2 linked regions of the Nothobranchius furzeri genome follow. The protein of the gene in region 2 purifies or fractionates together with the protein of the main gene of each other region. This does not show direct contact. Links are inferred from orthologs where the notes say so. Each region holds a gene or a part of one and is shown on either strand. Other genes may lie near its edges. The genes, in order: edc3 and usp4.

Region 1 (4,441 bases), on a different chromosome or scaffold from region 2:
TTGATACTGGACACCTGTTTGCCTCCAGTTTTGTTGAAAAGTGTGAGCTCGTTTGTCACAGAATCAAGCATCTTGACAAAGTTTGGCAGGAACAAGATAACCTCTACTTCATGATTGGCCAGGTGACGACCACAGCTGATACCCTGAGCGCCTTGAACATGAGGTCCACACATCAGCGCCACAGTGGGATGCTGATGTAAATTTTTTGGTGTGAATCTAGAGTTGAAATGAAACACAGATTAGGTTAAGAAAATTTGGAGAAATTAACAGGATCAATTGTCTAACGAAAATTCTTTAAATAACCTGCATTAACATCGAAAAGAGGAAACATTGGAAACTACACCTCAGAACATACCTGAGGAAACAAAAACAAAAGGGTACACAAGCGACTAGTGCTGCAGCTACATGCATCACGCAGGTTGTTCCCAATCTTTTACTCAAAAGTTTGATGCTTTTTTATGTTTGATCTTCTTTATGTCTGATTCTTCAGGCACTCGAGGAGTACAGACGCTTCCCTCTTTTGCTCCCTTATCTTTTTTTCCCCAAGGCTCTTTGTCCTGTCTGCCCACAGAGCGCTTCTCTGCATTTCTTCTGAAAAACTGTTAACTAACCATGGATTTGATAAATTGGTCATTCAATGCGATCGATAAGATTTTTTCAACATTGAGAACGGAGTAGGGGGGCTCCCACATGTCCACAGGGGACACACCCAGTGGGATATATGTTGGATTCCCGGAAGGAGTGGAAGATCATATGCCTCTCCCAGCTGTCGATTGAGGATATCGAAGACGTGTGGATATTCGGCCTGATGATCACTGGATTTCTCCTGATTGGAGTGGGAGGATATCTGGTTTTCTGGAAATTTGGGAAGACGGGAGCGGTTGGAGGGTGACCTGCACCCACGGAAAGCACCGTACGTGTGGAGACTTCTCAGACTGGGACGTTACTCGAGGTGAATCATAAGCTGGACAATGTTCTAGCTGCGATACCGGTATTAGTGTGCAAAATGGACGTCATCTCGGAGAGTTACCAGACGGTATGGACAAGCTTAAAAACCCAAAATTGGCTTCACTGAAGGACTGGAATGATCAGTTTAAAAGACTGAAGGCAAAGAGGAAAATTATATCAGCCTGACCCAAACAAATTCTTGTTATCCGAATCTGACGCCCTGGTAGCCTTGAACTGCAAGCAACTAAAAACCCCCATGAAGGAATGCAGACAGATGCTGTGAAAACCCGACCTACCAACCTGTATGTCTGATCTCTGAATTGTGCATACTGAAACTCTAATTTACCTCTGGGATTAATAAAGTATTGATTGATTGATTGATCCAAAACCGTTTGGTCTGTTTCATCCATCATTTATACCAGAGTCGGCCTTAGTCATGCATAAAAAAATCTTTGCTTTTCTCCATTATTAAAAAGTGAAGCCACTTTTCGGGCTGCCTCAGCATGTCAGTCCCAATTAAACATGTCGACACAGAGGAAACCACAGTCATGACAACCAATGAAGTATCTGTAATTAGCTCATTTAAGTTACTCGAATAATTTAAGTGCTGAAATTGACTCAAAACTTTCCTTATTTCTAAGGTGATTTAGAAGTTAGTCTTCATCTTTACACATTTACCTGTTGGGCCCTCCTAACAGTGTAAGTGCCATCTGACTGGCACACACTCCAGTCATCTCAAGTCTTCGCTCCAGTGAGAGGCCGTGACGCTCAGCAGCAGACAACAGCCGCTTGTGGAGTTCATAGGAAATACTTGGTACAACAAGTCCAGAATCTGTAGAAAGTAATAGAGAAAGGTGTCAACCAGTTTAAACCCAAACACTATCATATAATACCATTTACAATGTTAAGCACATACCAGTACAGTACTCTTTGGCCCCAGGCTGAGGTACAATAATCTGTCTGTAAACGACTGGTTTGCCCTCCAATATGTTCTCATCATGGCGGTACCGTGAGGGTGTCTGGTCTTGAGGAGTGCCCCGTGACCGTGCCCCGTTACGCCGCTCTGATGTGTCAATCTCTGAGAAAACTGCTGCTTTGTCAAAAAGGGCAAGATTCCCTTCGAAGTCAAAATCCGTGTCCAGGTCATCCTCCATGCCGTCCCCAAAACACTCATCGTCTCTGTGCTTCATCTGACCGTTCTTCACTCCATTCTTTTTAGGTGTTGCTTGGTTTGGTCCTCGACTACTAGATGACCCTGGTGAGATTAGAAAAACTTCAACCATTAGTATCATGCCACAGAAATTGATTTTTTGTTTAGTTATTTGATCGCCGAACAAATGGCCCTTACATGAGTTATGTCTTCGACGAAACCCTTTGGGTTGGCCCAGAGCATCTAGATGACGCTCTCCGTAACTTTTAGAGCATTGCTGGGGAGAGTTTAATTTCTCAACAGCTCTGGGGTCACCCTTTGGGACTGCCACCGGAACACTGTGCACGTTTGTAGCTGTAGTAGAGGTTCTCCTTGCATTACCACTTCTGATGTCTAAAATCTTTAGCTCCCTTATATCAATGGCACTGGAAAAACAATCAAACTATTGTATCAATAGTTACTAGAAACTGCAAATCACACAAAGTTACTAACAGTGGAAAAGACCCGTGTTTACCTGAATGTGACCTCGGGAACTGGACATTTGACTCCGTTGTGAAAAGGCTGCCTTAGAGAGATGGTTTGGCTTGACTGGTCCACTGATGATACTTCTCCTTGATACACCCCAAGCGTTGGGCCACAATTAATGGACACTAAACTACCTAACCAGTCCGCAGCCATTATCTGCAAAAAGTTAAAAGTTGTCACACTTGTTACAGCAGCACGTTAACTTGTGACCTAAGAGAACCACAAATATTAATTGTTCATTTTTAGGCCTACGAAATGTGTCGACTGCTTATTATTCCGGCCTGTTATTAAGCTACGCAGAGCCAATTTACGTGCTGAAACGTAAAATACCTTCAACTATCACCGTACCTTTAGGGAATTAAGATAAAGTAGACCCCTCTTGATAATAAAAATGAAACAGCGGGTAGTAAAAGCTAAGAAAATTGCTCTCGGAGAAGTTAGCGTTTTAGCTTTAGAACAGCTACTGCTATTCGCCTTCCTGTTTCCGGTAGACTGAGCTTTTCAAAATAAGACGGAACTTTTATATCTGGCTGGTAAAAACGTTTAGTCAAAAGTCTTTAACTGAAAGTGAGTGAGTGAGTGAGTGAGTGAGTTTTTGTTTGTTGTGGATTCTTTGTTATTTTTTTACATGTTTTACTGAAGTACAAGTATTTTATAAGGTTTACAACCATTCCATTCCACACGTTTAATGGAAATAGTTATCAGTTAGCAAATAATCAATACTTGCAGCATTTCCTCTTTTTTTTCTTTTCTTTTTTTTTTTTTTACTTTTTATTTATTTGTCTTTCTTATTTAATCAACATATACAACAAAAATCTGTGTTGGTAGAAAAACAAACTAAAGAAAAGAAGGAGAACCATATAGGGCAAAATTGAAAAAATGACAATAAAATGTATGGGTGAATATAAAACAGTTGCTTGGGGCTTTGCCAATTCTATCCTATAACCAGTTATATTTTTACCTTTAGCATCCTATGTCCCTTGAAGATAGGAGGTCCATTTTTCCCCATTAAAAAAAAGAGTTCTCCCCTCAGTCTCAACTAAAAAGTGATCCGTTCCATCGTATATTGTTCACTGTCTCCTCTCACTGTTCCAGGGTTGGTGGTTCTGGTTATTGTTTTTTTACCAGCAATTAACAAAATTTTACAGAGATAGTCCTTTCTCTTGACCACATTCTCAGTTAAGTTACAAAACATTAAAATCATCTCATTTTGGGGTATTTTATATCCAAATAATTTTGTCATTTCAATAGATTTTTGATCCTAAAATGGTTTTATTCTGTTGCATGTCCAAAACATGTGGGTGTGGTTGGCACTTATGTGTCCACACTCCCTTCAGCAGGGTTCCAGTGAGTTTAATATTTTATGATTTAGTTGTGGTGTTAGAAGGTTTGTTTGTTTGTTTGTTTGTGGATTCATTGTTATTGTTTGACATGTTTTACTGAAGTACAAGTATTTTATAAGGTTTACAACCATTCCATAAACACATTTAATGGAAACAGTTATTAGTTAGCAAATAATCAGTACTTGCAGCATTTCCTCTTTTTTTGAAGCTGTCTGCAGTTCACTGATGCTGTCAGTCAGCTTCTGTGCCAAATCCTGAGTGACAGCAGCTTCTTGCATAAACAATGCTTGAGATTTTTCAGAATTTGTAGGTTCTTCATCTAGAGCAGGGATTTCCAAAGTGTGGTGCACGCACCCCTGGGGGTGCGCGAGCTGCCGCTAGGGGGTGCGCGAGGTGAAAAGTGTAATGGCTGCGGAGCTCAGAGAAGTCTGTCATATGTCACCATTATTGTAGAAACTCATTTGTGGGTGGGCCT
Region 2 (4,294 bases):
AGAAAAGAAAAAAATAATAAAAAAAACTATTTCGGTCAGTGCTTTTCCTTTTGTTTAGTACTCGTGTCGCCCACTGCTTACATGCTTTTGCCAACCGATATGGTGGACCCACGTAATTAGGTGACACAGGTGCAAGGGGTCAATAGTTCTACAGCAAGAACTGATCTGAATTACAATGACTTATGGCACCTCTGGTCCTCGAAGGCTGCTAAAACAAAACATGCTGGATAGTGGCCCTCGAGGACCGGAGTTACCTACCCTTGACTTATGGTAACCAAGGGCAACAACCTGATGAGATCCTTTCTTTTTACCAAGTTCAGCTGGCCTGGCAAGCCAGACTAAATAAATGTATTATTTAGTCTGGCCACGCTCCATTGACGGCTCTCGGTTGTGGGGCGGGTTCTACCGTTGTCTTTCAAATGATCTCCGCATTCCACTGGACAATGAATGTGACATACTCTTGTTTCACTCTGTTGCATCATCCCACCCACCAGGCACATAGAGTGCCCTGATTGGCCCACAAAGCGGATAAAGCTCTGTGATTTGTTCACTAAGCAGATAGAGCACTATGATTGGCCCACCATTATGGACCAATCACAGCTCTTTATGTGCTTGAACCCCCTCTAGAGAGCTGTGATTGGCTAGCCAGAGTCCTGGTAGGAGCTGCTGAGGTTCCAGTGGAGCATTCCTAGACCAATCTTTGCAAAGCAAGAATTTGGTCTAGTTCACTAGGCTAAAGTTCAGCATCTATTTAAGTTAAAAGTGAAACAATTCTTGTTTACCTCTACCAAACGTATAAAAAAAGTCACAGGAAACGTTTAACAACCCAACCAAAGCTACTCCTCAACAAGATAAACAATAATGCACGTCTCACTGCAGGGCTAATGAGCTGCTTTGCATTAGGCTCCATCATTTTTCTGATTTTATGTCTGTGAATGAATAATTTATGCAGACAGTACTAATATGCTACAAAGGTTGTGCTGTTTCAGTGGATCAGTGTTCTTTAAGGTCATTGGAATAACTAAAACTACCTGTCCCTGGAAGAGTCCGGCATCCTGTACAGTGCTGTCTGGCTTATTCAGCTGCTCATACGTGTTGCTCATGTATTTGTTCCAGAGTCGAGTCTCCTTTTCTGAAGGGATATTAAACAACTTCCGCATCTCCTTCTCTATTGTATCTGGAAACAAACACGTATAATGAACCAGGGCTGTCAGCATCTGCTTTAAGTTCACTTTGAGATCACACAGTAATTCTTACCTATGGTGTCAGCTTTACTAAAATGGCGCGTGATGACGTTGTCCATGTTGTCATTCTCACACAGGTTGAGCTCCAGCAGATAGACTTCCACCTTACAGTGCTTCACAAACATGCCATGTTCAACCACCTAGAGGCCAGAGACAGTCAACGCCTTGCAAAGCTTGGTGAAACAGAAAGAGGAAGACAACTCTTCAATGGGACTACCTTCCTGACGATTGGTTTCTGGCCCTCGAGACAGCTGTACCAGCTGACAAGCTTGTTCCATGCCTCCGTGGGTACAAGGACATAGTCTAGTTCATCTATAAGGTGCTCTTTCAGGGCCTGAGTGTCCTGGTCTAGGAGACAAAAATAAATAATACACCAACTTTTAACGGGGGCTGCTGGAAAGATTAAAAATAAAACAAGACAGGACTCTTGATAAAATACCTGAGAATAGTCCAGAGTTATCAATTGGTCCCGGATAGAGGCTACGTTCTCCAACATTGTACATATCCCAGCTGTCAAACCCCACATACTTTTTCCATTGTTTGAACCACCGGCTGTCTATTAGATACCTAGGACAAATGAATGAATTGTTATTACGTAAATAACAATGAACACAACGATCCTCAAGAATTACCCTAAATAATAACCACCAATGTCTATAGTTATCAGATAATGAATATAGAACAGGATAAAGGATAAGAACCACTGCCTCCTGCAGACACAAAACATTATGTAACACCACAATTCCCTGGCAGTTATAGTAACAGCAAGCCAGTTTTACTTAATCTCGTCTAAAGAATCACCTTTAGTTAATTGGCTTCAAGAGATATCTAGTAACAAACATTCATTCATTCAGTAATGTCCCAGGTATGTCCGTGTCTTGTGTTCCCTTTGACACGTTAGGTTTTATTAAACTGTGTCTGATTAAAGCCAGGATAAGTGTAGCATCGTGAAAGGTCATCTACTAATAACTGAGTGACTGAACAAACGTGGAGCTAAAGAGTTAACCGTTTGTATTTTCTATGTTAATGCCCTTATATTAACTAAGAGAACACACATGTTACCTAGTTTAGATCTCACAGCTTATTATCTAAACTGAAGTTGTTGATTTTTTTTATTTTACTTTAATTATAGGCACGTATAGATTTTTCCACGATAATACTTAATTTGTGAAATATGGGCTCTTTTCAATGCCCTAGCTACGTTATAACCAGGCCTGGATGCTCTTAAAGATTTAAAACGGTGTGAAAAGAGTGACAGTAAAGAAATGCCATATCATATCAGCGAACCTGATTGAGCAACAAGCCGGCTGGACTCGAATCATCTGACTACGGGGCCTTCTAGCTAGCACATCGGTTGGCTCCGATAACGTATTACAAAACGAGATAACTTTGTGTTACTCAACAACATGTTATTTACGTGATTAGTCTGCTGCTCCCAGCCAAAATAGCTGATTCCTTAACGATACACTCCATGTAACAGAAATTGTGAAGAGCTTTGGTTAGCAGCTAGCGTGCTAATCCATGTTACATTAGCTTGCTATTTAGCAATACAGCTTTCTGTTTCATTGCTTTATACGCCTATTAGCTGTAGCATGTTAGCACTTCCGGTTTCTCGCAAGCTAACGCAGGAGCCTCAGATAGGGTTGAACTTAGCTGATTCTTACCATTCGTCCCCTCTTTTTAAAGTTGTTTTCAATAGTGACCCAATAGTTTGTTTCTGATTTTCCGTTGATGGGGTAGGTATTTGTGCGGCTACCGGCTCCGAGTCGGAGTCTGCCGCGCTACCCGAATCGGGTCCGCCTCCCTCAGCCATCATGCAGCCAGTGTGCCGGTATCGTGAACGCGCTAAAACTAAGCACATGGACGAGCTGTGTTCTTTTCATCCCCTATTCCCCTCTAGCAGAGGCGGTTCTAGAGCTTTACTTTTAGGGGTCCACAACTACAAACGTGACTTGCAAAAAGAACCAGAAGTGTCTTCTCTGTCACAAATAAGACTGAAAGCTGGGGTACATACACATTTTTTAATGGTTTTGGTTTCACAATCCTCTCCAGGGTGTGGCTTGTACACTTTTTTTAATCACATTGTCCTTCCATTCACCTCTCTTTAAATGTGCTTAGCTTATACACAGCTCTTTAGCAACCATCAGTCAGTATGTACAGTCTATGTACAGTATGTACTAGGATTGTCACGATACTAAAATTTCAAACTCGATTCGATACTTGGACAAAAACCGATACTCGATTTCGATACTATTTAAAAACACCCATTTATCGAACAAGTTTATTCAAAAAATAACATTCCTCACATTATATTACAAAAATTAAATGTTAAGAATTAAGTGTATTAAGTGCTTAAACCTTTAAAGTATCAGCATTTTTTAAAACGTGCATACAAAAACTGGTGAAAGTTAACATTTTAAATCATGAATTGTCTCACTATATATACACTATTTGCAGAGTGATGTTTTGCTGCTTAAACTCTGTTTAAGGTGCATTTTTGTCATAAGCTGTAATGCCATATGTTTTGTTCTGTACTTTTGAACAACTCTGTTGGTCAATAAAGGGAGAAAACAAATTTCTCCACAGTAGGACAAAGGTACATCTACCGGTAATCTTAATAAAAACAGACTGGCGCACGGCAGTGACGTCATTAAAAGCGCCGGTTAGATTAGCCGCAGCTAGTCTGTTTACGCCTAGAAATCCCAGACCAGACCCGCTCCAAACGAACAGGGGAATCACGTTAATGATTCCTAACAAAACCTTTCGACATGAAGATGTTTTGGTGCAGATAATGTCCTATTTCGAGGCTGCACCATGGGTGCCCGTCCGCACCCGTTATATGGATATACGCTGACGGCGATTTGGTGATGGACCTACGGTAAATACCCCGGGGAATCCAAGTAGCACCAAAGTTGTCAGCGTGAGTAAACAAACGTACTGCATGCTAGAAATTAAGGCCGGGTTGCAATAAACGGGAGTTTCCTTTAAGCACATAAGCGTGAATATACAACTACATGTCGGACTAATTAAGTTGGGCTGTGAAGCGCCTC

The links.
Region 1: the proteins of usp4 (region 2) and edc3 purify together in Homo sapiens (co-immunoprecipitation; 3 studies listed by BioGRID and IntAct, with this or other methods). This does not show direct contact. The link is inferred for Nothobranchius furzeri from reciprocal best matches to the Homo sapiens genes USP4 and EDC3.

What each region holds. Positions count from the first base shown.
Region 1 is NC_091744.1:58,994,092-58,998,532, forward strand, and holds the start of edc3 (enhancer of mRNA-decapping protein 3), read right to left. Parts: upstream 3,113-4,441; 5' UTR 2,972-3,112; intron 2,780-2,971; 5' UTR 2,777-2,779; coding exon 2,613-2,776; intron 2,541-2,612; coding exon of another isoform or gene 2,524-2,540; coding exon 2,297-2,523; intron 2,204-2,296; coding exon 1,865-2,203; intron 1,781-1,864; coding exon 1,627-1,780; intron 217-1,626; coding exon 1-216. UniProt on the Homo sapiens protein: Binds single-stranded RNA. Involved in the process of mRNA degradation and in the positive regulation of mRNA decapping. May play a role in spermiogenesis and oogenesis.
Region 2 is NC_091743.1:47,676,634-47,680,927, forward strand, and holds the start of usp4 (ubiquitin carboxyl-terminal hydrolase 4), read right to left. Parts: upstream 3,101-4,294; 5' UTR 3,061-3,100; coding exon 2,909-3,060; intron 1,812-2,908; coding exon 1,684-1,811; intron 1,593-1,683; coding exon 1,462-1,592; intron 1,385-1,461; coding exon 1,258-1,384; intron 1,178-1,257; coding exon 1,032-1,177; intron 1-1,031.